Macaca mulatta: one gene and its partners. The protein of the gene in region 6 interacts with the protein of the main gene of each other region in a pairwise test. Links are inferred from orthologs where the notes say so. Each region holds a gene or a part of one and is shown on either strand. Other genes may lie near its edges.

What was found.
Region 1: the proteins of SDCBP (region 6) and COX4I1 interact in binary tests that used the Homo sapiens proteins (3 or more experiments, as listed by UniProt). The two-hybrid records come from large-scale screens. The link is inferred for Macaca mulatta from reciprocal best matches to the Homo sapiens genes SDCBP and COX4I1.
Region 2: the proteins of SDCBP (region 6) and TLE5 interact in binary tests that used the Homo sapiens proteins (3 or more experiments, as listed by UniProt). The two-hybrid records come from large-scale screens. The link is inferred for Macaca mulatta from reciprocal best matches to the Homo sapiens genes SDCBP and TLE5.
Region 3: the proteins of SDCBP (region 6) and FTL interact in binary tests that used the Homo sapiens proteins (3 or more experiments, as listed by UniProt). The two-hybrid records come from large-scale screens. The link is inferred for Macaca mulatta from reciprocal best matches to the Homo sapiens genes SDCBP and FTL.
Region 4: the proteins of SDCBP (region 6) and CBR3 interact in binary tests that used the Homo sapiens proteins (3 or more experiments, as listed by UniProt). The two-hybrid records come from large-scale screens. The link is inferred for Macaca mulatta from reciprocal best matches to the Homo sapiens genes SDCBP and CBR3.
Region 5: the proteins of SDCBP (region 6) and LZTFL1 interact in binary tests that used the Homo sapiens proteins (3 or more experiments, as listed by UniProt). The two-hybrid records come from large-scale screens. The link is inferred for Macaca mulatta from reciprocal best matches to the Homo sapiens genes SDCBP and LZTFL1.
Region 7: the proteins of SDCBP (region 6) and RIC8A interact in binary tests that used the Homo sapiens proteins (3 or more experiments, as listed by UniProt). The link is inferred for Macaca mulatta from reciprocal best matches to the Homo sapiens genes SDCBP and RIC8A.

Annotation. Positions count from the first base shown.
Region 1 is NC_133425.1:81,189,308-81,193,684, reverse strand, and holds the start of COX4I1 (cytochrome c oxidase subunit 4 isoform 1, mitochondrial), read right to left. Parts: upstream 3,117-4,377; intron 1,797-3,116; exon of another isoform or gene 1,776-1,796; coding exon of another isoform or gene 1,775-1,775; coding exon 1,702-1,774; coding exon of another isoform or gene 1,698-1,701; exon of another isoform or gene 1,696-1,697; intron 1-1,695. Other genes in the region: EMC8 (ER membrane protein complex subunit 8), read left to right, coding at 3,705-3,935. UniProt on the Homo sapiens protein: Component of the cytochrome c oxidase, the last enzyme in the mitochondrial electron transport chain which drives oxidative phosphorylation.
Region 2 is NC_133424.1:3,847,915-3,851,765, forward strand, and holds part of TLE5 (TLE family member 5), read right to left. Parts: intron 3,358-3,851; coding exon 3,313-3,357; intron 2,712-3,312; coding exon 2,649-2,711; intron 1,182-2,648; coding exon 1,107-1,181; intron 1,028-1,106; coding exon 806-1,027; 3' UTR 1-805. UniProt on the Homo sapiens protein: Transcriptional corepressor. Acts as a dominant repressor towards other family members. Inhibits NF-kappa-B-regulated gene expression. May be required for the initiation and maintenance of the differentiated state.
Region 3 is NC_133424.1:61,421,011-61,425,108, forward strand, and holds FTL (ferritin light chain), read left to right. Parts: upstream 1-1,782; 5' UTR 1,783-1,983; coding exon 1,984-2,085; intron 2,086-2,246; coding exon 2,247-2,393; intron 2,394-2,762; coding exon 2,763-2,888; intron 2,889-3,380; coding exon 3,381-3,533; 3' UTR 3,534-3,559; downstream 3,560-4,098.
Region 4 is NC_133408.1:11,285,408-11,289,856, forward strand, and holds the start of CBR3 (carbonyl reductase [NADPH] 3), read right to left. Parts: upstream 2,867-4,449; 5' UTR 2,768-2,866; coding exon 2,479-2,767; intron 114-2,478; coding exon 6-113; intron 1-5. UniProt on the Homo sapiens protein: Catalyzes the NADPH-dependent reduction of carbonyl compounds to their corresponding alcohols. Has low NADPH-dependent oxidoreductase activity.
Region 5 is NC_133407.1:109,184,191-109,188,041, forward strand, and holds part of LZTFL1 (leucine zipper transcription factor-like protein 1), read right to left. Parts: intron 2,778-3,851; coding exon 2,653-2,777; intron 501-2,652; coding exon 306-500; intron 1-305. UniProt on the Homo sapiens protein: Regulates ciliary localization of the BBSome complex. Together with the BBSome complex, controls SMO ciliary trafficking and contributes to the sonic hedgehog (SHH) pathway regulation. May play a role in neurite outgrowth. May have tumor suppressor function.
Region 6 is NC_133413.1:69,251,153-69,255,003, reverse strand, and holds part of SDCBP (syntenin-1), read right to left. Parts: intron 2,619-3,851; coding exon 2,540-2,618; intron 1,293-2,539; coding exon 1,183-1,292; intron 1-1,182. UniProt on the Homo sapiens protein: Multifunctional adapter protein involved in diverse array of functions including trafficking of transmembrane proteins, neuro and immunomodulation, exosome biogenesis, and tumorigenesis.
Region 7 is NC_133419.1:82,840-87,217, forward strand, and holds the start of RIC8A (chaperone Ric-8A), read left to right. Parts: upstream 1-1,530; 5' UTR 1,531-2,657; coding exon 2,658-2,741; intron 2,742-3,077; coding exon 3,078-3,125; intron 3,126-3,213; coding exon 3,214-3,804; intron 3,805-4,372; coding exon 4,373-4,378. Other genes in the region: BET1L (BET1-like protein), read right to left, coding at 1,117-1,135.

The DNA of each region.
Region 1 (4,377 bases), on a different chromosome or scaffold from region 6:
TGCTGAGCCTCTCCTGGGGAGATGTGGTATATCTGGGCGCCCCTCACTCAGGTGCATCACCACGCAAATATCCCAACTGACTTCAGTGACAGCTGATGGTATTCTAGACTGCTTTAATATCTTAGGTTGAGAACAGTTTCATGTATTATTCATGTGTGACTTACATAAGTTAAAAGTTAACAGACGCCAGGCGCGGTGGCTCAAGCCTGTAATCCCAGCACTTTGGGAGGCCGAGACGGGCGGATCACGAGGTCAGGAGATCGAGACCATCCTGGCTAACGACCCCGTCTCTACTAAAAAATACAAAAAACTAGATGGGCGAGTTGGCGGGCACCTGTAGTCCCAGCTACTCGGGAGGCTGAGGCAGGAGAATGGCGTGAACCCAGGAGGCGGAGCTTGCAGTGAGCTGAGATCGCGCCACTGCACTCCAGCCTGGGCGACAGAGCGAGACTCTGTCTCGAAAAAAAGAAAAAAAAAAGAAAAAAAAAAAGTTAACAGACAAGACTTGTCTAAGAGCCTGTAGTTCGTCTTCATCTGCCTCCTGTGTGCTGGAGATACGGCAATGAGTAAGATAGGCAGGGTCCCCGGCCTCAAAAGGCTTACACTCTAACAGGCTGAGACAGCGATACTCACATAGACATGCATTCATGAGGCATCCAGTGTTATAAGGAAAAGCACAGCAAGGTGAAGTGACAGGGAGCTTCCTGACAAAGGGTGGTCAGGAGAGGCCGTTCTAAAAGCACATTTGTATTGAGGGTGAATGATTAGACAGAAGTGGCCATCCTCAACTCAGCGCTCTACGGGAGGAATGGAGTAAGGCCAGGGGGCTGGGGCAGTGAGCAAGTGGGGAGGGGTGGTTCTGATGGTGGTTTTTGGTTTTCGAGCACAATAGTCAGTAATGAGATCAGAAAGGCAGGCAGGACCAGCTCTAACCAGGCAGGGTGCACACTCTACAGAGTCTACATGGAGAGTTTCTTCCAAAGCCTTCCCTGAACCCCACATTGGGCTAAATGTTTCTACCCAGGAGCCATCTCTTAATAAAACACTGTCTTCATCCATCTGTCCCTCTTCAGATTGCAAACAGCCTCCTGGAAAGAGTGTGTATTTCGTCTTCTTTTTCTTCTCGGTGTCTAACAGTGTCTGGTATAAAGTAGACAGATGCCAGATACATGTAAAACTAAATGTGCTGTATGCCAGACACAGAACTAAGCTCTGTCCATACACTTCAGGTGAGCAAAGAGATTCCTAAGCTTCAGTAGCTAGTCCTTGACAGAAATGAGATGAAAACCCAGCTCAGGCTATGAAGTCCAGGCTCCTTCGTTTCCATTGTCTCTATAATGTAAACAGACGTGATGCAAATGGTTGGGAGTTGTGGGGGCAAGGTGGGGAGGGAGGTCATTAAGGTTAGTTTTGGTGCAGAAGATCTTTTGAAAGGGGTAGATCTTGAAGCTTAAAAAAGGGGAAAGGAAGGGAAGGGTAAGGGGGGAAATATCGGTATCACCAAAGATCCAGAAAAGATTCAATTTGATTCCTAAACACTTCTTAATCTAAAACCGGGCCCTGTGAGAATATTTGTATCTCCCCTAAAGACCCTCAAGAGCCAAACTAAGGTCTTTAAAACTCCAGCACAAGGCCTTATACACAGCAGGAGCAAAATGAAATTAGCTCAGCCTATTCAAAAGAAAGAAAAGTCACACTTACCATGTGCTCGTACACACACAGAGGTGGAAATTGCTCGCTTGCCAACTAGGCTAAATACCCTGGTAGCCAACATTCTGAAAGATAAAAATGTACACCTTCTCTATGAATAAGGGCAAACAGCAAGGAATGAGTCTTCTTTTTGCCCCAGAGCATTCTGGAATTAAATTCTTTTAGTTGCTTCTCCCCAACGCAAATGATCCATTCTTTATTACTGTCTTTGAATTCACAAAATAACCTAGGATGAGGTTTTTCTTAGTAGTTCGCATGCTTTTAAGGAGCTTCATTATAAATCAACTGCCATAATGTATACGAGCTTCAGGTAATTAACAGAACATTGGTCTTTTTAAAAAAACAAGGAAAGGCCAGGCGCAGTGGCTCACGCTGGTAATCCCAGCACTTTGGGAGGCCGAGGAGGGCGGATCACCTGAGGTCAGGGGTTCGAGACCAACCTGGCCAACATGGTGAAATCCCGTCTCTACTAAAAATACAAAAATTAGCCAAGCATGGTAGTGGACGCCTGTAATGCCAGCTACTTGGGAGGCTGAGGTAGGAGAATCGCTTGAACCCGGGAGGTAGAAATTACAGTGAGCCGAGATCGCGCCACTGCATCCCAGCCTGGGCAACGAGAGCAAGACTTCGTCTCAAACAAACAAAAAAAGGCAAGAAGAAAAAATGTTAACAAAGCGACAGTGAGAAAGTTAGAGATCATTAAAGCACTGTGCTGCCGTTACAGGCTCCATTCTTCAGGGGGCGGTGGGGGGAGGTAACAGCTCACAGGGATGGTGGCACGATCACATTCAACTGAGTATTTGCTTAAAACCTAATACCGCATATACACAGACTAGAAGGGGAAATTGGAGAAGGCTGCCAACACAGCCCCGGTCAATTTCCAATCCCTGAGGAGAGCGGAAAACCTGGTAGACCCCCGCCTCACCCCGGTCCTCCTCGATTCAGGTCCATCTACCCTACACCGCCCCCTTTAAATCGACCCTTCGCAGGAATGGTGAGGGTGATGTGGGAAAATACCCTCCTCGGGGCAGAATAAACAAGCATGACGTCAGGGCTGAACGCCCGCGTCTAACTTCTCTCCTTGGGCCTAGCCCATGCGTGAGCAAACAACTGGAAACAACTGGCGCCCTCCAGGCTAGGAAGCCGAGCGCCGCCCGGGAGCCCCGCAAAACCCGGGAGGGGTTGCAGGGACCTTTGAAGGAGCAAGGGCGGAGGATGCAGGTACAGAGCGCGGGCCCGTCTCCCCACAGCCTGCGCCCTCGGCCAGCGGGCGCTCCCAAGGTCATTGCCCGAGGCCGGCCCGCAGCCGCCGCGCGACTGGCGAAGACGGACCGGGCGCTTCGGGACCGCCCTCCGAGCCTGCAGCCATGGAGGCCGGAGTCCCCGCGGGCCGGCCTCAATGTCACCTGGCTCCGAGGCCCATTCAGTGTTTCCTGCGGAAGCCGGGCGGCCACGTTGCGGGCGTGCAGACTCGACGGCTCCCGGCCCCCCGACACGGCCCGGCCTTGCGGCCCCGCACCGGCCACCTCCTGCCTCACCTGCCGCCACTGCCCGCCGCGACCGCCCTCTACGCCCGGTGTCTCGCGACCGGAAGAGAGCAAGGCCGCGCCGCGCAGCACCACGGGATCGAGGAAGACTCCGCCTGCACCCGGCCGCGCAGAGGTCACCGTGGAGCGGAAAAGGGTAGCGCTGAGAACGTCGTAAAATGCCGGGCCGGGCTGCTTTCCGGCAGGCGTTGGGGAGACCGCTTTCCGGCGGCGCCGGGCGAGAAGCGCGAGTGGGGTCTGGGGCTGCGGCTTCCCAGAGGCGCGAATCGCTTTTCGAGGAGCCGAGGCACGAACGGGGCCGGGCCTGAGGGGCCCCTCACCAGCCCGCGGCCGTGCCATCAATCACCGCCGGCTCGTCCCGCTTCTCGGCTGAGGCGCCGCGCGGCCGGGCAGCGGGTCCAGGCCTCAGCCGCGCGCCCAGGGGCCTCGGGGCCCTCCCGGGTCAGCATGCCCGGGGTGAAGCTGACCACCCAGGCCTACTGCAAGATGGTGCTGCACGGCGCCAAGTACCCGCACTGCGCCGTCAACGGGCTCCTGGTGGCCGAGAAGCAGAAGCCGCGTAAGGAGCACCTCCCCCTGGGCGGCCCGGGCGCCCACCACACCCTCTTCGTGGACTGCATCCCCCTCTTCCACGGCACCCTGGCCCTCGCCCCCATGCTGGAGGTGGCCCTCACCCTGGTAAGCGCGGAAAGGGCCCCTTCCCCGCCCTTGCAGGCAGCCTGGCCTCCCCTCAGTCAGCAGAGAGGCAGCTGGTTCAGCTGGCTCAGCGGTCGCCCTCCAGCAGGCTCCTAGGACCCGCTCCCTAGGGTCGCCGTGGCCAGGAATGGGGTGATCCACGATGGCGCTTGGGTCTTGGCGCTGAATAAATAGCGTCTCGTAGTAGCAGCGACTTTAACCGTCGTGGATGCTTTTAGAGGCGCTTTAAGGCGACGAGTTATACGTTAGTTTCCTGAAATCAGTAGCCTTTGTAGAAACAAGTCATCGTTAATTTGGTTTCGACAAGGATTCGACAAGAGTTTCCATTGAGGATTTCGAGTTGCAGGAAGTTTTCACGTTGTTGGGACATTAATCGCTAGCATTTGGTTCTTCGCACCTTCACAGAGCCGATTCCTTATCTGGC
Region 2 (3,851 bases), on a different chromosome or scaffold from region 6:
GGTGTGGGTGTTGCTTTTTTTTTTAAAAACATTTTTGTCTTTTTTTTTTTAATATCCCCTTTCTTAAAAGACAAGCTAGTATACTGGAAAAAGAAAAAAATAATAATAAAATAAAAACCAAGACAACTTTAGTACCCTCATCTTTATTTGGGAAGGGGAGGGGGAATCCTGGGTCGCCCACCCTCACCCTGCTCCTCCCAGCACAGCTAAGCTCGTCCCTCGTGCCCCCTCTTTTGTGGGCAATGGGAGAGGACCAGGTGGGCGTGGAGGCGTCTGGAACTAGCAGAGGTGGTGAGTGGGGCAGGAAGTGGAGGTGGGAGCAGACCTGGGACCCCGGGTCGGGGGAGACTCGGGGTGCCCAGGATGGGAAAGGGGCAGCTAGCATTGCGTGCATGCAGTACCAGGGTGAGAGCGCAGTGGCGTGTGCCCCGAGGGGCCCGGGCAGACTGTCAGTTACACGTGTTCAAAACGGGGGAATGGCCAGGGGTTCTGGGCTTCTCGAGGTCTTGCTCCCTTGGGACCTGGTCTCCCATCTGACCCTCCAGGCCTCAGCTTGCCTCACATGTCAGGGCAGGTATCCACCTATCCAGGCTGCAGGGGAGGAGGAGGGAGGCCGGGACTGGGGTAGGAAGAAAGCTAGAGGTGGCCTGCAAGTCGGACTGGGGCCTCCGCAGGCAGCCGCCATAAATACTATGGGAGTTTAGCCAATCCCGAGCTCCACTGTGTCTTGTGCTAAACATTCTTTCTCTCCGTGCCTCTGTCTCCCCTCTGTCCCCCCTCCCACCCTCCCCGTCCCGGCCCCCTGCTAATCCGACTTCTCGCCGTCATCCTCCTGGTGGGTGTCACCGTCGTGCCCGTTCTTGTCTTCCTTGGAGAGGTGGGCCTGGGAACCCAGCGCGGACAGCGAGAGCAGGCCGGTGCCTGCACTGACCGCCGGCAGCGAAGGCGGCTGCAGCCCCACAGGCAGTGGGGTCAAGGGCAGGGCCAGGGCCTGCAGCTGGGACAGCTGGTGGGCTTGGAGCTGCTGCTGCAGGACGGGGGAGGGGAACGTTAGCTGCCTAGGGCCCACCTGTCCCCCGCCCACCCGCCCAGGTCCCCATACGTACTCGGATGATAGAGTTCAACTCAGGAGCGGTGACCTGCTTGGCCCTCTCGATGGCTCCCAAGACCTGCTGCTGGTGCTGGAAGGGGATGAGGAGAGAGGAGAGGCAGTGATTCCTCCTGATCCTGACTGAGAGAGGAGGCGGTGGCTACCCTGGGGCCAGGAGGAGCCCCGCTACCAAGGGGGCCATCATGTCTGCTCCTCCCAGTGGTTTTCAACCCCATCAGAAAGCGCCTTCCCTCTCTCCAACTGCTTCCTTTCACCAAGCTCGTCTCTTCATCTGGCCAATGGAGATAAATGGAAAAGTGCAGAAAACGATTAAAAGGGTTTTGTGCCAAGTAGTTAGAAAACGGCCTTTGAGTGAGTCTGGGAGAAACCCCGGATCCTGACCTATCCTATGTCCGCAGCCATGTACAAAGACATGAAAGACGTGAATATTTGTGCAGTACACAACCTGCCCAACTGTACAGGGATGTCCTGATCCTAGGAGCTCCAAGACTGTGCCCTGAGTCCGGCCAAATTGAGCCCTTCTCCTACCATGGCTGGAGAGGGCCCAATGAATTCTGGCAGAGCCAGCTGGGGAATGGGCCTAGGTTCAGGGCAGTTCCTCCCCCAGCTCTCCCCAAACACCTGACTCTGTGGCCAGCAGATGCTAGAATCTATCAATCTCCCTTTTTGCTTTGGCCACCAGGAAGCCTCCGTTCTGAAGAGTTCCAATTGCCCTTTTCTCTAGGGCTTTCATTGGGTCCTTCTAGACTTGTCCCTGGGCAAAGCAGGGCACCCAAAGGATCCTGAGATACAGCGATTAAAGAGGAAATTACAAATTTTTGACAGTAAACTTGGCAGGGACAGGAGATGGGCCTTACATGGCCCTGGGGAGGGGCAGCCTTGCATCCTGAGCCTCAGAACCCAAGAAAGGAGAAGAGAAGCTGGGCATCAGGTTCCTCTGGGTGTGTGTGCATGTGGTAGTGTGTGCTCAGGATCACATGTGCTTACTGTGTAGCTGCACATTCCTGCGTGTGTGGCCCTGTGCTGTCTGCACACGCCGTGTATCCGTGTGTGTCTGCGTCTGTGTGTGTATCTCCCGTATGTTGATGTGCTCATACCTATCTATGTGGCTGTGTCCATGGGGGACCGCCCTGTGCTACCCCATCCCCGCAACACACCCTCTAGTCTTTGGTTCTGTGCCACCCGCAGCGCCTGAAGGATGTTCTCAAGAGGGTGAAAGGAGGAAGAGAGATGAGAAAAAAACATTCCTGGTGCAGTTTTGGCCCATCCGACATTTCTACCTATGACATGACTCACTCCAGCTGGGAATTCCAGAGCAGGGTGAGGCCCGGCCCCCACACCCCTGTACCCCTGGAGTGTCTCTGGCCCAGGGATTCTTCTGCATAGGCCAGCTCTGGTGTCCAGAGCCGGGGAGGTCCAGAGAGGGGAGGCATGTGCCCTGGGGCACCCAGCACGCCCCCCAAGATGGTTGCAGCGGACAGGGGCTGGGCAAGGGGAGGGCCCCCTGGCACCCCCTCCCTGAGGCCCTGGCTCTTACCTCTTGGGAGAGGTAGGGCAGGACCTGGGCACAAATCCCGTTCAGCCTTTTGACAATCTCCGCCTGGAACACACAGATGAAGTCAGCGTCAGTCCTGGATGGGTGGCAGGTGCAGGCCAGCCCCAGGAGGCCCGCACGGGGCCCAGCCCAGCCCTGCCACTTGCGGCTTCTCTCTAAGAGGGGCTAGGTCTGGCCAGGGTGGGATGAGCAAACCCGTGTTCGGGCCCAAGGGCAGCCAGTCAGTGGCAAAGGTGGGGCTGGAGACCGGCTGTCGCCTGCAGCTTAGAGTGCAGTAAATGCAGGATGAGGCCAGACTGCACATTCCTCGGCTACATTCCTCAGGGCTGGGCCACTCAGGCCCCTGGCAGATAGTGAGCGCTCGTGGGAATGTAGGGAGGGCTGGGGGCCACAGGTTGTGGGGAAGGTCTCCGCCTCTCCCGCCACCCCCAGAAAACACTTCAAGGGAGGCCTGAGAAAGAGGCGGTGGGGAGGAGAGTGGGAGCTTGGGAAGGGCTTAGGAGGTAACAGGATAACAGGGCTGGCTGGGTGCCCAGCCAAAGGCCGGCTGCTACCTGCCTGGGGGTGCCCACGGGGGTGCTGGAGGCGGGGGGCAGAGGGGGAGGAGGGGGAAAGGAGAAGGAGGAGGAGAAGGAGATGGGCGTACCTGTTTGTGCATCTCGATGTTCAAACCGTAGGACATCTCATAGTACTGTATGGGGGAGAGAGAGAGGGAGCGGGAGATGAGGGCAGGGAAGGATGGGGGGGCATGGAGACAAAGAGATAAGGGAGTGGTAGAGACAGACAAAGGGGGGAGACAGCTGAGGGCAGGAAAGAAACGAGGCAGGTGGGAGGGAAAGAGCAGGAGGGAGAGACGCCCACACCCAGCGTCCCAGCCAGCCCGGGAGAGGGGCAAGGGGCCTGCTGGGGCTGCGGATGGAGACTGGAAGCACTTTAGGTCCCTAGCCCTGGCCTGGCTCCTCCCCCACTCCGTGTGCACCGCGAGAACACGCATTCCAGGGCTCCTAATCTTGTATCTTTCTATGATCTGTCTGCGGGTGGGCCCAGACTCCAGAGAAGTTTGCCTGCCTGGGTATAAACAGTGAGGGATAAACAAAGCCTGCTGGCTCTGGGGCCAGCAGCTACCCCTGCCCCAAGCCCCAGATCTCACCCTGCCCCTCCCCTGCTCTAAACCCTCCCATGGCT
Region 3 (4,098 bases), on a different chromosome or scaffold from region 6:
CAAAAAAGTCGGGGAGTGCCAAGGGGATGAGGTCAGTGAGTGGCCCCACCCACATCCGTCCCCGCGGGGGGCCTCTTCCCGCGCTGAGCTCAGCATGACTCAGCAGTCGCTGCCTGCAACAAGGACCCCAGATACCGGCCTGGCGAGGCATCTGCAGATCCCCTCGGTCAGGGGCTGCCCTGCCTGGGCTGCTCGGAGCGGCTCCTCTGTAGGGCAGGGCCTGACCTCACACCCCACGCCCCAGTGGCTTCAGCTCCCTGCCCAGCGCACGGGCTACCTCCATCGGGGCACTTAAGCAGGGTCAAGGTTTGCGCCGACTCCGTCTCCCAGAAATCAACATGGACCAGGTCCGCTTAAAAAATACGCATTAGAGAGGCCGGGCGCGGTGGCTCAAGCCTGTAATCCCAGCACTTTGGGAGGCCGAGACGGGCGGATCACGAGGTCAGGAGATCGAGACCATCCTGGCAAACACGGTGAAACCCCGTCTCTACTAAAATACAAAAAAAAATTAGCCGGGCGAGGTGGCGGGCGCCTGTAGTCCCAGCTACTCGGGAGGCTGAGACAGGAGAATGGCGTGAACCTGGAAGGCGGGGCTTGCAGTGAGCTGAGATCCGGCCACTGCACTCCAGCCTGGGCAACAGAGCCAGACTCTGTCTCAAAAAAAAAAAAAAAAAAAATACGCATTAGTTGTAGACAGACGTCTCGTCCATAGGTCCCCAGACTGTGTGTCCACAACGCAGGGCTTCTCTTTGTGGGCCTGAAAGAGCACACGTCAGGCAAGACACGACGGCAACTGCGGAGACACTGTTTTCAGGGCCAAGGAGAATTCTCGGAGTCTGTGAGTTGCCTCCAAAACAGCCCCCAGGACACGCAGTCCCAGAGACACCGCAAAGCTCGAAACAGACATTTCATTCCTCCCCATTTCCACTCCCAGAAAACGACTGGGCCCTTAAAAGAGCTCCAAGGTATCCCCAAAGTCCCAGCCAGTCTTTGGAGGGTTTCCGAGGGCTGTCCAGGGTTCCAGAAGTCACCCTACCTCATACAATGCTCCTCCTGGGCTTCCCGCACTGGGGAACCCCACGGCTCCAGAACAACTGCCCTTTCCAACTTGCAGAGCACCTCAAGGACCTAAAGATCTCCCCGGGGAGGGCTCCAAAATATAGAGTTTGCATCGTGAACTCCCACCTCTGTAAAGCCCAGGACTCCAGTCCTCGCACCCCTCTGTCTCCCAGAGATCCCCAGGGGTCCAGAAATACCACCTCACTGCCTTCCAAGCTTCCCAAGGATCCGGAGACTCCTTATCTCGCAGCACAAACCTCAGGCAACTACAGGTCCTCCCCGCACCTCTGAGTTGCCCCTCCCCCACTCAAGGTTCCAGAAAAATCCATGCCCTCCGAAACCCCACAATCTGACTTACTTTCCCGAGGCACCCCCAGGACCCCAGGGTCATCAGTTCACAGGACTCTCAATGCTCCCATAAAACTATAGCCTCCCAGAGGAACCCCAGCCCCCACCCCCCCGCCCACGAAACCCTCCATTCCTCGAATCGGCCCCAGGGCCCCAACCCCCGCAAGCCCCCATTTCACAACACACTCGCGCTGCAGGCGCGTGACTTCCCCCTGCTTTGGGGCGGGGGCTGAGACTCCTGTGTGCTCCGGATTGGTCAGGCACGGCCTTCGGCCCCGCCTCCTGCCACCGCAGATTGGCCGATAGCCCGCTCCGAGCGCCCCGCCTCCGAGGGCCAGCGCACTATAAAAGAAGCCGCCCTAGCCACGTCCCCTCGCAGTTCGGCGGTCCCGCGGGTCTGTCTCTTGCTTCAACAGTGTTTGGACGGAACAGATCCGGGGACTCTTTCTTCCAGCCTCCGAGCGCCCTCCGATTTCCTCTCCACTTGCAACCTCCGGGACCATCTTCTCGGCCATCTCCTGCTTCTGGGACCTGCCAGCACCGTTTTTGTGGTTAGCTCCGTCTTGCCGACCAACCATGAGCTCCCAGATTCGTCAGAATTATTCCACCGACGTGGAGGCAGCCGTCAACAGCCTGGTCAATATGTACCTGCAGGCCTCCTACACCTACCTCTCTCTGGTGAGTCCCCAGGACGCCCCTGGCCCTAATTTCCCCCAGCTGCGCACGTTCGGCCCTCAGCGCAGGCGCCGGCCTTCTTTGTCCGGTCGAGTAAACAGAGGGCGGAGTCCCCCTTGGCCTCGCCTCCCGCTAAGCGTTGTTCCCTCCATCTCTTTCCTTAGGGCTTCTATTTCGACCGCGATGATGTGGCTCTGGAAGGCGTGAGCCACTTCTTCCGCGAATTGGCCGAGGAGAAGCGCGAGGGCTACGAGCGTCTCCTGAAGATGCAAAACCAGCGTGGCGGCCGCGCTCTTTTTCAGGACGTCAAGGTAACTAGTGTGTGGGTAGGGTAACGGACTACATCTCCCAGCAGGCCGTGCGCGCGAGGAGCCTTGATTTGAGGGCTTAGATGTCGCGTGGGCTTCGGGGAGATTGAGTTCGGTCTTGTGAGCCCTTTTACGGCTGGAAATAGAGGCGCACGTCGTGCAGTGCCCCCAGGACGCGGCAGTCCACACTGCTGCGTAGACTTAAGGACGTGTAGCTGTAAGAGCTAGGACGGGGTGCGGAGAGTGATAAATACAAGCTGTCACATGTCTTTGTGGCCTGGGCCTCTGACCCCCACCAATTCTTGGGAAATGTAGGTTTAGTTCCATGTGCCGAGTGTGTGTATTCTGAAGCCGTTTCTCCCTTCTGTATAGAAGCCAGCTGAAGATGAGTGGGGTAAAACCCCGGATGCCATGAAAGCCGCCATGGCCCTGGAGAAAAAACTGAATCAGGCCCTTTTGGATCTTCATGCCCTGGGTTCTGCCCACACGGATCCCCATGTACGTACCCCCTGCATCCATGGCTACCCAACCATACCCCTCAAGCCTTTGCTCTCTTTGGGCAAATTCCCTTCAGAGCCTCATTTAACACCTGTCATATTTTAATCTGCAACTGGCAGCTCTTTCTCCCTCTTTTCCAGGGATCGGGTTTCCTTTTTTTTTTTTTGAGACGGAGTCTCACTCTGTCGCCCAGGCTGGAGTGCAGTGGCCGGATCTCGACTCACTGCAAGCTCCGCCTCCCAGGTTCACGCCATTCTCCTGCCTCAGCCTCCCAAGTAGCTGGGACTACAGGCACCCGCCACCTCGCCCAGCTAGTTTTTTGTATTTTTTTTTTTTAAGTAGAGACGGGGTTTCACCATGTTAGCCAGGATGGTCTCGATCTCCTGACCTCGTGATCCGCCCGTCTCGGCCTCCCAAAGTGCTGGGATTACAGGCTTGAGCCACCGCGCCCGGCAGGGATCGGGTTTCTAATTTCTCCCTCTTCTCTCTCAGCTCTGTGACTTCCTGGAGACTCACTTCCTAGATGAGGAAGTGAAGCTCATCAAAAAGATGGGTGACCACCTGACCAACCTCAACAGGCTGGCCGGCCCGGAGGCTGGGCTGGGCGAGTATCTCTTCGAAAGGCTCACTCTCAAGCACGACTAAGAGCTTTCTGAGCCCAGCGACTTCTGAAGGGCCCCTTGCAAAATAATAGGGCTTCTGCCTAAGCCTCTCCCTCCAGCCACTAGGCAGCTTTCTTAACGACCCTAACAAGCCTTGGACCAAATGGAAATAAAGCTTTTTGATGCAGTTGGTGGTTTTGTGTGTGGTATGGAAGATGAGGTGGGATCTGTTCTCATAAAGCTTCTGGCTGGGTTGGGGATGCCAGTGAAAGAGGAGTTGGCCCCATCTCCCATTTTCTTATCTCTTCTAAGACAAGAAGCTATCTGGGTAGTGTTGAACTTGAGGGTTCTCTGCTTGCCTGGCTGTTAACTGTCCCTCCCAGATGGTAGAGATAGCCTCCAGGGAGTTGAATTAAGACCTAGGTTGGTACCTGGACACAGATCTGTTCGGTTTCAGCCAGAAACAGCACTATTTAATGAGTGATTATGAGGCCAGGTGGGCCGATCAGCTGATGTCAGGAGTTCGAGACCAGCCTGACCAACATGGAGAAACCCCGCCTCTACTAAAAATACAAAATTAGCTGGGTGTGGTGGTGCATGCCTGTAAT
Region 4 (4,449 bases), on a different chromosome or scaffold from region 6:
CTTACCATGAGGTTTCATTATCGGTAGTAACTCGTTGCACATGTTTCTAGTGGCAAAAAAATTTGTCTTCAGTGTCATCTCGGCTTTAATGTCAAAGGGCATTGGATCATCACCTTTCAGAAAGAGAAAGAAACAGAAAGAAAGTCATATTTTTCCCCCTGAAACTCACATGACAATGTGGATCCTAACTCCGAACAACTAAAGGGAAAAAAAAGTTAATTTTAAAACAATTTTTAAAAACGAGGTCAGTGATTCTCAAACTTTAGTGTGCATCCGAATCACTTGTAGAGTCACCGAATCACAAGTGAATCGTCCGAATCACTTGTAAGCTGTTAAAACACAGCTTTCTGGGCCTCACCATCAGAGTTTCTGATTGCAAAGGGCTGGAGTAGGGCTCCAGAATTTACATTTCTTTTCTTTCTTTTTTCTTTTTCTTTCTTTCTTTTTTTTTTTTTCTCCGAGATGGAGTCTTACTCTGTCACCCAGGCCGGAGTGCAGTGGCACAATCTCGGCTCACTGCAACCTCCACCTCTGGAGTTCAAGCGATTCTCCTGCCTCAGCCTCTGGAGTAGCTGGGATTACAGGCACGTGCCACCACGCCTGGCTAATTTTTTTATTTTTTGCAGAGATGGGGTTTCGCCATGTTGGCCAGGCTGGTCCCCAACTCCTGACCTCAAGTGATCCACCCGCCTCGGCTTTCCAAAGTGCTGGGATTACAGGCGTGAGCCATCGCACCTGGCCTGAGTTTGCATTGCTAAGTTCCCAGATGATGTGACAGCTATTGGTCTCTAGCCACACCTTGAGAACACTTGGCTTTGACTACCATTTCTCAAAGGTGCATAGGAGGGAGCTGGGGATTCTGTTGAAATGCAGATTTTTTTTTTCTTTTCTTTTTTCTTTTCTTTTCTTTTTTTTTTTTTTTTTTTTTTTGAGACTGAGTCTCGCTCTGTTGCCCAGGCTGGAGTGCAGGGGCATGATCTCCTCTCAGTGCAACCTCTGCCTCCTGGGTTCAAGTGATTCTTGTGCCTGAGCCTCCCGAGTAGCTGGGATTACAGGAGTGAGCCACTATGCCCAGCTAATTTTTGCATTTTTAGTAGAGACAGGGTTTCACCATGTTTCCCAGGCTGGTCTTGAACTCCTGACCTCAGGTTATCTGCCTGCCTCAGCCTCCCAAAGTGCTGGGATTACAGGCGTGAGCCACTGGGTCCAGCGGAAATGCAGATTTTAATTCAGCAGGTGTGGGGCAAGGCGGGAGATTCTGCCTTGCCATGAGTGCCCGGGTTTGCAGCTGCTGCTGGTCCATTCCCTACACTTTGAAAGGCAAGGGGAAGTCCCTCCGCCTGTCGTCCAGGAAGCCGGGTATTTATCCGCCAATTTCTCAGCCCATGACTGAGGGCTGCTTTAGGGGTGTTAATCCCCACTCCTGCACCCCAGCTCCCAGAAAGCCGGCTGGCTGAGTTGCCGGTGCGGGTCAAAGAAAGTCTCAGGTCCCCGTGTACAACAATGCAGAGTGCCTAGGGCCAAAGGGATGAGTGGAGACTTCTGCTCCCCCATCCTTCATTTCACTCCCTCTTAGGCTCCCCCCTCCCCCCCCCACTAGGTTGGAGGTGAAGCCGGCCTGTTTATTTCTCCGTGGTAACTTTTTTTTTTTTTTTTTCCAGACGGAGTCTCGCTCTGTCGCCCATCCTGGAGTGCAGTGGCGCGATCTCGGCTCACTGCCTCCAAGGTTCAAGCGTTTCTCCTGCCTCGGCCTCCCAAAGTGCTGGGATTACAGGCGTGAGCCACTGCGCCCGTCCTGTAATTTTCTTCAGTAGTAGTTAGAATAAGTAATCTGATCCCCGCCCCTCTCCTTAAGGAAGATGCTTTTAAGACCACACACACATGTTTTATAACAAACATAAGCTCCCCGGGGGAGGGAACGAGAGGGCTCGCTTCCTTTTGGTCAGAGCCTATCAAAGCTCTGCATTACACAAATTGTGAAGTCCACCAAGTGCAAGTGCGCGCTAATCCTGTTCTAGCGATTCATTTCCTTCCCCAAGCAAATGCCTCCGGGCATCTATGAATGCGCCCTTTCAAGGAAAGCGAAAGCCCAAAGCGAGCGGTGACACTTTCTTTGCAGAGAAAATGTTTCTTGCGTTGGAAGGAAAGCTGATGAACTCCAGCAGGGCGTTGCCGCCTCCCAGGAGGCCAGTTTTCCTGCACACAGCAGCGGCTGACAGTTCGGGGAGGGCCCCGGGCCGCGCACAGGCCCACACAGGCCGGCGGGCGGGGCGCCCTGTGTCTGTCGCCCGGGCCCGCCTGGGGCTCAGCGAATCACGGAAAGCGAAAACCGCCTCGCGGGAGGCGTGGGCTGAGCGCATCCCTAGGGGCCGGCGCCACCCTCCTTGGTCACTCAAGTGGTTGGGTGGGGAGCCTGCGGCTGGCCGCCCCGCACCCTCGGAGCGCTCCAGGGGGCCCCAATCCAAGCCCTGCACCTACTCTTGAAGGCGACTGCCGCGTTGTTGACCAGCACATTGAGCCCGCCGTACTCCTTGCGCAGGAAGTCGCGCAGGGCGCGGATGCTCTGCAGGTCGTCGATGTCCAGTTGGTGGAAGCGCGGGCTCAGTCCCTCCGCCTGCAGCTGCTGCACGGCCGCCTGACCCCGCGCCACGTCCCGCGCGGTGAGCACCACATCCCCCGAGAACTGTCGGCACAATTCGCGCGCGATGGCCAAACCGATGCCCCTGTTGGCCCCGGTCACCAGCGCCACGCGGCTGCAGGACGACATGACTGACCCGGGCGCGCGGGACACCTGCGTGGACACCTGGAGGGCGGACCAGGCTTCGGACCACCTGGGGCGCGCCCCGAGGAGCCCAGCTAGTGTCAATGCCGCTAGTGTCAATGCCGCCGCGCAGACTAAGATCCAGCGCTGCGAGTCTTAAAGAACAAGGCCCCGGCCTCGGTCCCTCCCCTCCGAGGAGGGGCCGTCTGTGCCTTCTGTTCCAACTCCTGGGCCCGCCCCCTGCCCACGATGCGCCCTTCAGGATCCGGGCTCTGAGCCGCAGAGTGATCTGAGAGGTGTCTGAAGCCAAATCGAACCTTGATGGGTCAGTCGGGGGCTCCAGATTCATGGCAGCTGGACTGAAGAAGTTATTTTGGGAAAACCCCAAAGTGAGAAAAACAAGTGCTGAGTAATTTTCTTGGGTGTGCGCCCATCATGCACGCAAAATGCGAATGTTTGCCTTTTCCTAAGATGCAGTAACTTTACTTAGACACAGTAACTGCTTCTCTGGACATAGATCCCCTTGCTTGCTTAAAAGGAACTCAGGAGAGGGAATTAGATGCCCTGTGAGCACACCTAGCAGGTGTGGGCAGGCGACATCGCTCTGGGATTCCCAGCGAATGTGCCCCCAAGTGGGAGGGAATGTTCTTATTTAATCCTGACTTAACTCCTATGGGTGCTAAAAGTGTCTGCATTTAGGTTTGCCCAAGGAGGATATAGATCCATAGAGATCTGGATTGATCATATATTCTCACAGTGAGATCTGTGTACCGGCAAAGAAAGTTAAACTGAAACCAAATTCCCAAAGGCGTGTCAAGCTGTGGGCACCAAATTAGAGCCCCATCCATCGTCTTCAGTGTAAACTGAGTTGTTTGATCAGTGACTTTGAGATTTGGGGAGAACTGTGACATCATCACAACTCAGTCTTTTCCATGCAGAGCTGGCTAACCTGCCTGTGTCTGTTACTCTGACTCCACCTTCTCTCTCAGGTCCTTACTTGAGGTTCCGGAGGTGGGCCCCTGCTGTGATCTCCTACTGTGCTTACCCCAGTATTTCCTTTTTTCTCCTAAAGATCATTTGGTCTGGATGCGGTGGCTCACACCTGTAATCCCAGCACTTTGGGAAGCTGAGGCGGGTGGATCACGAGATCAGGAGTTCAAGACCAGCCTGACTAACATGGTGAAACCCCATCTCTACTAAAAATACAAAAATTAGCTGGGTGTGGTGGCGTGTATCTGTAATCCCAGCTATTTAGGAGGCTGAGGCAGGAGAACTGCTTGAACCTGGGAAGCGGAGGTTGCAGTGAGCCGAGATCATGCCACTGCACTCCAACCTGTGCAACAGAGTGAGACTCCTTCTCAAAACAAAAACAAAAACAAAATCATTTGGAACCTTGTTTTAAGGATATGGGGCTATTTAGGTTTTCTATTTCTTTCTTTCTTTCTTTTTTTTTTTTTTTTTTGAAACAGGGTCTTCTCTGTCACCCAGGCTGGAGTGTAGTGCTGCAGTCATGGCTCACTGTAGCCTTAATTTCCTGAGCTCAGGTGATCCTCCCCTCTAGCCTCCCCAGTAGCTGGGACTACAGGTGTGCCACAGTCATGCCTGGCTAATTTTTAAATTTTAATTTTAATTTTTATTTTTGAGATGGGCGTCTCACTGTGTTGCTCAGGCTGGTTGAACTCCTGGGC
Region 5 (3,851 bases), on a different chromosome or scaffold from region 6:
AAGACAGATGGTAATACTGACCAAGCTAATAAAAATGCAGTAAAAAATAATTAATGATAGCCTGAAAAGCAATTTCATAAACCTCAATGGCCTTTGTAATACCTAGGAACAGTAGAAACAAAGAACTTTTAAAAGGGCACTTAGTGGTACCCAAGAGATCACTCAGTGACTCAATGCTTTGCTGTTACCCTACCCAAATTTTCTCACACACCAGCCGCAAGAAAATATGCAGCAAAGATATTCACTAACTTTTAAGATCATGCTTGGGCCACTACTGTCACAGTTGCAAGTTCAACTTTTATTACCGGTTTTCAAGTTCAGAGATGTCTGTCTGTAGCTTAAGATACCACTTCTCAGCTTGTGCAAACAGCTGTCGCAGAAGTAACACATTGGTATAGGCAGTGTTGATGAGCTCAGATTCCACCTCGCTATGAACCACAGCTTGCAATCCATTGAGAACTTCAGAGACTTCATCTATGGTGAAGGTCTCCTCCACCAGCCTGAAAAACAACCATGATCCAAAACTTATGGATAAACAACAAAAAAAATCTACAAAATACAACAAAATTAAGAAACCCACATTCATGCAATCTAAGAAATTCAAAGATTACAGTGAAAATCTCTCTGGGAACTATCTTCTTTATTAATAAACATTGAAAATAATTTAAACTCAATTAATTTTTGACATCTATTCAAATGATTAAATTGTGCACATCATTTAATACAAGTAAATGCTCAAACACATTCCCCAAACCATCATCTACTTTTTTCTTTAACTTTTTAGTATTAAATGTCTTATTTCAAACTCCACTGAAATCAGTCTTATTACATTTAATAATTTCAAAAGTAACCTGGAAGGCATAGTCTTATTTCTTTCTAATATTTCTCTAGCATTTTAGTAACTGTATGAACTATTCACAGGTTAGTAAATGTCTATGGGAAATAAATGGTAATTATATATTGCTCCTCTTTGCATTCTTGAGACCCAAAATAATAATAATAATAATAATAATAATAATAATAAACTAGCTTATCTTAAAGTTCCACTGAACACTCCACAAAAATGAGTATCATCATCAACAACAGCATTAGAAATCTACTCTAAGGGCAAGGCATGGTGGCTCACACCTATAATCCCAGCACTTTGGGAGGCAGAGGCAGGTGGATCACTTGAGGTCAGGAGTTCGAGACCAACGTGGCCAACACAGCAAAAACTCTTCTCTACTAAAAATACAAAAAATTACCTGGGTATGGTGGTACGTGCCTATAATCTTAGCTACTTGGGAGGCTGAGGCAGGAGAATTGCTTGAAACCAGAAGGTGGAGGTTGCAGTGAGCCGACATTGTGCCACCGCACTCCAGCCTGGGCGACAGAGCGAGACTCCGTCTCAAAAAAAAAAAACAAAAAACAACTACTCTCACATAGAGAATGCTTGGGTTGGAAGAGAACTTTGGTGCCATCTTCTACAATACCCTAACTTTACAGATAGGAACACAGGTTTGAAGAGTGGAGGTGACTTGCCTATGGTCACATTGGTGGTGATAAATCCCACAATCATCTTCAACAATGGTGCTGGGCAAAGGATTCATGCCCAACAGCTGAATCCTTGAAAAAGCTTCCGTGTGTGCCTTCTAGTTTCAATGACAGTATCACAGTAACACAGTCCTCTCCTCTCCCTACCTCTACCCTCCAAAGTCCCTTCTCCCTCAGACTCTCAGCAGATGAAGGGCAACTACACCAACCTCAGCTTTATTTTCTTCCTACTTCCAAAAAGACATCATCAAGCAAGACCCAGTTACACTAAAGCATTATCAGAGTTAAACTTAATAGTATTTGTTTTATAATTCTTTAATGTTTCATCTAGCCAGCAGAATTTAGTCCTTCTCAAAAAAACCAGAACATTTTTTTACAAAAATCTTTATTAAAATATTAATAATCTTTCTATATTCTTTAATAGAACATATGTTCTTGCCAATTAAATTGTTGCTTTCATCTGCTGGGGGTTAGGAAACCAGATTACCAGATGAGTTTAATGGGCTGAATGGTCTAAGGCTGATGGCCTCTAATACTGACACATTCATGGTTTTATGGCAGCTGGAGCTCACTTGGAGGTCTTTTTCACTTATGTCTGACATGACATTCATCTCTTGCTAAAAATCAACTATGGTCCAACCATTATTATCTCATGCTAGAAATCAACTAACAATTTTGGTACTAGTCAGCATTATGATTTCCTGCTGTTTTCCTCTCTCTTAATTATTCAGTATGAAACACAGACGTGTTTTCTCACTAATTTCCATGTCTTAGAGCTCTAACCATTTAATTAATAACTCAAGTAATTAAAGTTCTGGAATCTTTAATACAACCAGCCAATCATTAATCCACAAACCCTTGGCAACTTCCTGACTACCCTTCTGAAGCTCTGGAATCCTATAATTATCACATGCATTTCTGATAATAGATTCATTGCTTCCACCACGATACAACTTCTTTTGTTTCCTCTATCCATGAGGCTTAGTATAGCTGCTGTTAGCAAATAATTGATCATGATGAATCCCAGAAATTGACTGACATCTGCTATGGCACCCCCATACTGGCTACCAGAAAGAATCCATGTTCCTATTTGGTTTGCTTAGAGTCCTCCTCTGATACCTGCTCTCCTTGAGGTCTTGGAAGCAGGAATCTACAGTTTTGAGTCTCAAGCCTCTCTTTGAACGAGCAAAACGCATATAATTAATAACTTCATTTTGATGGTGCTCATTTAGGCCCAACTCTGCCTGAAAAAGAAAGAGGTAATTTAATTGTTAGTCTTGAAGAACTGATCAAAGAGCCAAAAATGAAAATGCATAAGACATTCTGTGGTCGAGACTGCTAGATCTCCATCAAATTCTATTCTTCTCTTTTTCCTGGCTGCATGGCTGCCCAGCTAGATGACACTTCTTTGCCCTCCTTGCAATTAAGTCACTGCTGGCTACTTCTCAGCAATGAATGTTGTGGTCTAGTTCCAAAGACCTGGCCTTAAGATATGGGGTGTACCTCTGCCACTCCCTGTTTCTCTGAAACCTGGAAGAGGTGGTGACTTGACTGAATCACGCAGACAACATTAATGCCCTAGAGGCTGGGGGAGCCACGAGATGAAAGGGACCCACATCTCTACCTCATGGAGAGACACTGACCCTGTCACTGAACTGAGATGAGCAGTAAGATGGCTGTTAAGTGAGAGAGAAATAAACTTCTGTATTCTTCAAGCCACTTAACCTTACAGCAAAAAATAGCAACTCTGTTATAGCAGCTTAACCCTTACCCCATTAAATACAGCTTTAACAAGTATATTTGATTTGGAAAGAACCACTAATTGGTCTGTACTTTAAACCAGATGACAGCTTGACAGATATTTAAGAGGCAAGCCCAAGGAGGTAGGGCTAGCACCCAAAGAATAGAGCAGGTCAGCAGTCAGCTAAGAGCAAGGCATCGGCCATGTTAGTTGAATTTGTAATTAAGCAGCTGATGAGCTTTACAAAGCAGTTTAGGTGGCATAAGTCTTTAAGGTCTGGAGGATAGAATGGAGACAGCAAGAGCTGAAGGGAAGCGAAAGAGAAATCTGTAAGGTAACCAAGTGCAACAGGTTACAGTCGCATATGCACCTGAGTTGTGACTAACAAGACAGATTTCTATTATGCACTAAAAGTAATTGACTACCTACATTAGAGACAATATTATCTCTGATAGTCACACATCAATATGGGCAAGAATATCCCACAATTTAGAAATATCACAAAACAATGTCACAATTTGCTAAAAACAAAGCACAAATACAGATTCTTAATCATTATTGTCTATAGTATAAATTT
Region 6 (3,851 bases):
GGTTCTAGGTTCTGCTAACTCCAGTCTCTCCCCTGTGTCATCCCAGTCCTAGGAGAAGCAACTAGCTATCTGCAATTATGTTTTTTTCAATTTTTCAACCTCTTAAAATACCTACTATTATTTGTTTTCCCAACTGCATCACCACTAACACAAGTTTTCTATAAATATTTGGTAAATACATACATGCTAGGTACTGTATATGCATTGGGATATGGCAACAAGACAGACACAGATTTAACTACAATTATAATAAGTGGTACAAAGTGCTATGGTCATAGCAATAACCTTAATAAAAGGTTATCAGATCCATTATAATTAAGCTAGAATATGGAGTCTAATTACATGGAGCTTTGGATTTCAAAAAGAATGTTAAAAGACTAAAGAGCAAAGGCTTGGCGCAGTGGCTCATGCCTGTAATCCCAGCACTCTGGGAGGTCGAGGCAGGTGGATCACCTGAAGTCAGGTGTTTGAGACCAGTGTGGTCAACATGGTGAAACCCGGTCTCTACTGAAAATACAAATAATTAGCCGGGCATGGTGGCACGCACTTGTAGTCCCAGCTACTTGGGAGGCTAAGGCAGGAGAATCACTTGAACCCAAGAGGCAGAGGTTGCAGTGAGCTGAGATCACACCATTGCACTCCAGCCTGGGTGACAGAGTGAGACTCTGTCTCAACAACAACAACAACAACAAAAAAAAAGATTATGAGCAACAAAGATACGATAGACCTATATGTGTATTTCAGAATGATTAACTTAGCAACAGCTTAGTACCATCGAAATAAGTTACTAGAGGAAATTTAAGAGAGTACTATAATAATGAAGGCTAGAAGTATAGAAACCCTGAATATGGTTATAGTAGGACTAGAATGGATAAAAAACAGACAAAATGAATACAAGAAACAGAAACAGAATCAACAGGACTTAGTAAATGACTAAATGCAGAAGACAAAGGAGAATGAACTAGTAAAAGGTATCTGAATCTAAATCCTAATAAACTCAAAACGTGTAGCACAAAATGAAGTAGACTATGTAAGAAACGATATCCAAAAGGAAGTCTAAAATTTCTGCGAAGTGAGGTTCAATGCTGTTGTATATTTTTGAGTTAGCCACAAACAGGAAAGCTTATATTAATATGTAAAGTATGGTTTTATATAATTCAAAATTAATTACACTGTACATACCCCCTGAAGTGGTGCACCAGAAACCACGGCCACATTTGCACGTATTTCTTCTTCATTTAAACTCAGCCCCATGTATTGAGACAGCTCCGGATATAGTTTGGGATAGAGATCTAATAAGTAAATGAATGAATGAATAAATTAAAAAGTACTTACAGAATACACAAAATGAAAACTTCTTTTATTATGGGCTTCTGTGTATTAACGAAATTATACTTAAGTTATAAAATCTAGAATGAATTTAAAGTAGCAATTTGGAAAGGCATCTCCCCATCTCTGTAACCATTAGAAATGGAAAATACAGAAAATGTTTAAAATTCATAAAATATGAAGACATCTGAACTGAAACAACCAGATTCCTAAACACTCAAAAGTAGAAATAACTTTTCCAAATAAACTATCTTGCCTTTCCTGTTTCTTAAAATAAACCTACTTGATTAGGAATTTAGTAAGAATACCACTTACCAATTCAGAACAACTGACCAAAATATCTATTTGTCAAGTCAGCTACTTTATAACTCATTCTGTAAACAGGGCTATGGAATGATTCTTCTGAACAATCTTTTTTTGAAAGCTTGTAAATTTATTTAGTGTCTTATCAATTTTAGTAATTTTAACTACATTCCAATGAAATCCTGCAAATGGTATTTTTAAATATTAACATTATTTCACCTGGTAGTAGTTATATACTATTTCCAAAAGCTCTTTTCTACATGAGACTTAAATTATCTGTGACTTAAAATGAATTTTCTATGAGGCAAGGTTATAAACTGTTGTAAGACAAAATGACAGGCCACAAAATTTATTTAACACTTATTTTGTATCTTAAGTCATAGTATTTAGAAGCTCTGTCCTGAATCCCTCTGAACCTTGAAGAAAAAGGGACTAAAGACAGGATACAGAGAATGAATAAAGGCCTCAATATTTAAGAGGCTTCCCAAAGAGGAGGTGGTTGGAAATTTCAGAAGCTCCCATAGGAAAGACAGAAGACAATTCAGAAAGTTCAACAGCAGCAGCATGATGATAGTTCTTAAATGTGAATTCAAAAAGTTCTTACATGTGAATTCATATATATAATTCATTCATAAATGAATCAGCCACATGTTAGGGATTTACAAGTCAGTCTAAAATCAATTTTCATTAAGCCATGAAATACATCCCCATATCCACAGTTCACTATCTTAATTAGAAAAAGGGTTATTTTTTGAAGTAAACTTTTTTTTCTTATTCATAACTATTTGAGCTTAACTACCAATTTTATGCAGCCTGTCAAGAAAAAAAAATCTTGGATTCCTTATTTGAGCAAAAGAAGATAACAATATTTCTGTTCACAGAGAATGAACTCAAAGTATAAACCTACTTCGATCTTGAGAGATAGGAGCAGAAGCTTCTGACAAAATTGCTGGATTGGCAGGGTTTGCAGAAAAAGCAGTTTGAGCCTGAAAAAGAAAAGAAGAAAATTGTAACAATACACTATACTTACTTTATATACTTATATAATTTATAAGCTAAATCCAGTACTTCCAAAAAGAAACTAAAACAATGAAGATTTATGTAAGAAAGTTTAATTTCAAACATGTCAGCAATACATTTTTTCAAAGGAAATCTGCAAATCAAAATTGTATTTGATATTCTAAATACTTTTAAGGCTATCACAAAAAAATTGTAGAAGTACTATTCTACATGTCTTATAACCAGTATTTCATAGTGCTGCCACAATAAATATTTTCAAAGTGCATTCTAAAATGGATAAATTTTACATTTCATTATTCTTTTACTAATTAGTCCAAGTAAAATAAAATATTTGCATAAGAAAAAAGCATACCCATATTCATATAAAAAGTCACATATCAGAAAAACACCTAAAAAATAAATACTAAGTTGCTAATATTTACCATTTTAGCATGTCCCACTGAAATCATCTTCATCACAGCAAGTATAGCAAGGGATTTATGCTAAACACTTTTAGAATATCAGAAATTATGAAAATAGCACAGTTTATCACTGACATAAATGGATGATGACAAGGTAATATAATTTGTAACTGTTAAACTTGCCAAAATCATTCTGACACACTCTGACACTCTAGCATTTATCAGTGCTATTCATGACCAAGTATCCACTTCTCAGGGCTGCCTCGATGGCCTATATCATATGAAGTATTTTCACTGATGGAAATACTTTATCCTTTACCATTAGATCTACTTTCTGAAATAGCTATATGTCATTAGAGACAAGTTTGGTAATAAGTTGTATGACCAATCTCTACCAACTTTTTACTTTATTGGAAACGTGTAATTTTAAAAATGAAGTTCATAGTAGTATCTCAACCTAGCCCTAAAATCAATGTCAAGAGTAGTCCCAAAGATGCTTTGGAGATATGAAAGCTTAGGTTAAATAAGTAAAGCCTACAAAAGCTTTGAATGGTACTAAAGTCATATGTTCTGATATACTTGTTGAGTTATCCTTTAATATTTATTATTTCATAATTTGTTAAACATTCTAGATTTAAACAAAATACAGCATGAACATCTTTATAACTGTAAATAACAATCCACAAATTGAACATGTGTTGAACTTTGAAAGTTCTTTCACCACGATTAGCTAAAAGGAGCTAGTGGCTTGTTATATTACTTCTTGAATCACGTCTAACAAAAAAAGTACCGTGCAGC
Region 7 (4,378 bases), on a different chromosome or scaffold from region 6:
CACATGTGAGAGAGACTGCATAAAGGACGATGTGTGCAAGGGCCTGTCATGTGAACACGTGTCCTGTGTACACATCCAGGTGGGGATGGGCCAGCACCCACAGTGGGTTCAGTCCAACCAGCACCTTCTGAGACTGTGTAGCAAAAACTGGGCCCAGCTCTGGGATGTTAATAAGATGTGACACTTGCATCCAGGGAGGTCGCCATCTGTGTATGTGGAGCCCATTCTTATAGAAAAAGAGTAAACTCTGCTAAGAGCATAGGAAAGACTTGGGAAAAGTACCCAGCAGGGCAGCAGAAAGGCTCCTGCAGGGACGACCTTTGAGCTGGGTCCTGAAGAGGTGGCAAGGAACCAGGACAGAACATTGGGAAGGCCCTTTACCGCACAGAAAACAGCTGAGCAAAGTTCCCAATTCCGCGAGATGGGAGCTGAGGTCGACCAGGAGCGTGATCCCTGGTCTGCATCCCACACAGGGCTTCCTGCAACACCCAGAGCACAGCGCTTGCAGAGGCCCGGCCTGTGACAGGCTGGGCCAGGTGATAAGGAATTTCTGTCACCTCAGGTGGGTGAGAACCACCTTCTCCCTAGCTTCAACGTTAAGGAAGGGATGCCAGCGTCCTTCCAACCACTTCCTGTTCATTAATTCCTTTACTCATCATAACTCAGACAGGCATCAATATCCCACTTTGCAGAGAAGAACACGGGCTCCAGGAGGGGAAATGGGGCCACCGAGGCCCAAGTTAGTTAGCAGAGGCCTGCCTGGACACCAGCGGAGCACAGCCTACTCCGAAGGCCTGGCCTCGGGACCTGTCGAATGCCGAGACTCCCGCTCACCCTGAACCCATGCAAAACGATCTCACAGGGAGCGGCGGGGAGTGGGGGGACCCCGCAGCTGCGCGACCCCTCGCTGGAGCTGCTGGGCCGCCCCGCCCGCCGTCCTTCCTAGCGGCAGTGCTGGCCGAAACCCGGCCCTGCTGGGACCCGGAAGGATCCGAATCCGCCCCCCTGACAGGGTCCTCCCCGCCGAGGCCAGAGGCAGGCGCACGCGGCTCTACAGGCAGCGGCGTCGGTTCCGGCCCGGCCCTGCCCCCAACGGCTCCGCTCTCCCGCGCTCACCCCGAGCCCAGTCCGCCATCGTGCCCTGCCCCGGCTCCTCGACGCCAACACCGACGCGGCCACAGCCGCCTCAGACGTGGCGCAGTCACGGGGAACGGGCTTCCGGCCCCGCCCCCCGCCAGCGATGGCCCCGCCTCCGCGCCAACCACGCCCCTAGATGGCCCAGCCGCTTCCGCGTCGGGCTCGCTGATTTCCGGCTTAGGCCCGAGGGTGGGGAACCGCGGGGTCGCGGAAGCGATGGGCGTCGCTGTGACTTATTTTCAGCACTGTCGCCCAGGCAGTGGCGCGATCTCAGCTCACTGCAGCCCCCGCCTGCCGGGCTCCCAAGGTGCTGGGATTACAGCAGCACCGCGGATGTGACGTTTGTTTGTTGTTCCTGTGAACGTGGGGCGGGGCGGGGCCGTTTGCTTGCTCAGTGCCAAGACGATGGTGGTGGAAAGACGCTGCCATGCGTTAGGTCCTAACGGTTAGGAAGGATTCACAGGCGGGTCATGAGGGAGGAGTAGGCCCCTCGGGCAGAAGCCCGCGAGGAGCCCTGGGTGTGGAGGGGGCAAGGGTGCCTCCTCTGTCAAGTGGAGATCGGCGCCTCGCTAGTGCCTGCGAGTGCGCGCCGCGTCGAATACAGGTGTGCGGAAAGCGCTACAGGAAAGTGAAGCAGGGAAAGAGACTGGGAGGCGGCACGGGGAGTGGGGGCCGTAGACGCCTTTGCTCCCGGGCACTTGTTACAAGAGCCAGTGGACCGCGCTTCCTGTGCGTCACTGAATCCTCCTGATGGCCACTGAAACGGACACGCAGGATCTTTGCTTGTCAAGAGGGAACTGAGTCCAGGCCAGACTGCGTTGCTCCCCTTTCTCTCGGCCCCTCACGGCCCTTCCACCTTTGCAAGTGCTGCTCCTTCTGCCTGGAGTGGCTCCTCCAGTCTTTTCCCAGCTCGCTTCCCATCGTCCAGTGTTAGCAAAAACACCACTTCCTCACAGCCCTTGCAGCCCAGCAGTCACCTTTTGCTTCTTTTGAAGCACAGCCCTGTGACCGCCTCATGTCCTTTTGTTTTTCCTTGTCTGCCTTCCCCTCTGGAACATAAGCTCCACAAAGGCAGGGGCCTGGGAGTCCCGTTCGCCTGCATTCCCCAGCAAACGCCTAACGAACCCAATGGCCCGGGACTGAAAAGTCCTTTCCACTTCGGCTTTCCCGTCTACATCCCATCGGTTCTGTGGAGCTCGAGGGGCGTCACTGTGTGTGTGGCAGGGCGCGGTGGGGGCTGAGATCCTTTCCTGTTGGAAATTCCGGCCCAAGAAGCCCCGGTCACAAGGAGGGGGATCAGTCCGGTTCAGGGCGACTCGGCCCGACTCGGGTCTTCCGAGCCGCCAGTGCTGCCTCAGGCCGCGCCCCCTTGAAGCGCCACCAGACGCCGCGTCCCGTCCCGGCCTCCCCCGCGCGCTGGCGCGGGGCTTTCTGGGCCAGGGCGGGGCCGGCGAACTGCGGCCCGGAAAGGTTGAGGAAGGGCCCGTCCCGCCTTCCCCGCGCCGGGTTCCGGGGGCGCCATGGAGCCCCGGGCGGTTGCAGAAGCCGTGGAGACGGGGAAGGAGGATGTGATTATGGAAGCTCTGCGGTCATACAACCAGGAGGTGAGCGGCCGCCTGAGGCCGGGGGGCGGGCACGGAGGGGGTGGGGCAGGGTCGTGCGCGGGTGGTCGGGACGGTGTGGGTGAGGCAGGGGTTGTGTCAGCAAGCAGAGGGGACGCGGCGGGGTGGGGGTGGCACGTCAGGGATGCAGTGTTGGGGGGAGAGTGTCTGGGGTGCACCCGTTGGGTGGCAGGTGTGTAGGGATGGGGGCGAGTGTAGACCCTGCCACCCCTTCTGAGCAGTGGCTGCTGCCTGAGTTAGAGGCCAATAGGCCGCCCCCCGTCAGCGGGCGCGGATACTGCCCCTCTGTGGACTTGAATTCACTCGTTCTCTCTGCAGCACTCCCAGAGCTTCACGTTTGATGATGCTCAACAGGAGGACCGGAAGGTGGGTGCTGGCCCGAGGGGTAAAGGGACAGGGACGGGTGGCCCCAGGAAGAGGGGCCTGGTGGAGCCGCTCGTCTCCCTGCCCACAGAGACTGGCGGAGCTGCTGGTCTCCGTCCTGGAACAGGGCTTGCCACCCTCCCACCGTGTCACCTGGCTGCAGAGTGTCCGAATCCTGTCCCGGGACCGCAACTGCTTGGACCCGTTTACCAGCCGCCAGAGCCTGCAGGCACTGGCCTGCTATGCTGACATCTCTGGCTCTGAGGGGTCCGTCCCAGACTCCCCCGACATGGATGTTGTACTGGAGTCCCTCAAGTGCCTGTGCAACCTCGTGCTCAGCAGCCCTGTGGCACAGATGCTGGCAGCAGAGGCCCGCCTAGTGGTGAAGCTCACAGAGCGTGTGGGGCTGTACCGGGAGAGGAGCTTCCCCCACGATGTCCAGTTCTTTGACTTGAGGCTCCTCTTCCTGCTAACGGCACTCCGCACCGATGTGCGCCAGCAGCTGTTTCAGGAGCTGAAAGGAGTGCATCTGCTGACTGACACACTGGAGCTGACGCTGGGGGTGACTCCTGAAGGGAACCCACCCAAGCTCCTTCCTTCCCAAGAGACTGAGCGGGCCATGGAGATCCTCAAAGTGCTCTTCAACATCACCCTCGACTCCATCAAGGGGGAGGTGGACGAGGTGAGCCCTGACCTCAACCCATGGATGGGTCTCAACTCAGCTCCAACATTTCCTGGACCTGCTTCCCACTGGGTACCTTCAGGTTTCTGGGTGTCAGACATGGAGAGAACAGGACCTCCCAGCGTGTTGGGACAAGGCCAAGGAGATGCCAGTTCTGGGCTGGGACCTTAGGGGAGGATTCTGAGGGAAGTAGAGGCCCCTTCTGGCTCTTGCTGCCTGGCAGGGGGCTGTGTGCTCTCCGGGGAGACTGTAAGAGATCCTCCACCATGAGGCTGTGAGTGGGGCTGAGACAGAGTGTGACTTCATCCCAAGGGTGTGTGTTAACATTCCTAATCAGGGACGTGCTCTTAGAAGAATACTCATGGAGTTTTTAGGAAGACAGCAGTGGTCATCTTTTGCCCCCAGCACTAGCCAGAGTCACCTAGGAGACCCCAGGGGACCAAGTGTGCAGTACAGGAGGTGCACAGTCATTGCCACACAGTTCTGGAGTGCAACAGACAGTAGAGCCTCAGCAGGCAGCAGTGGGATGAGTGGGGCTCCTCACAGGAACCCTTCTTTCTTTGGTCAGGAAGAC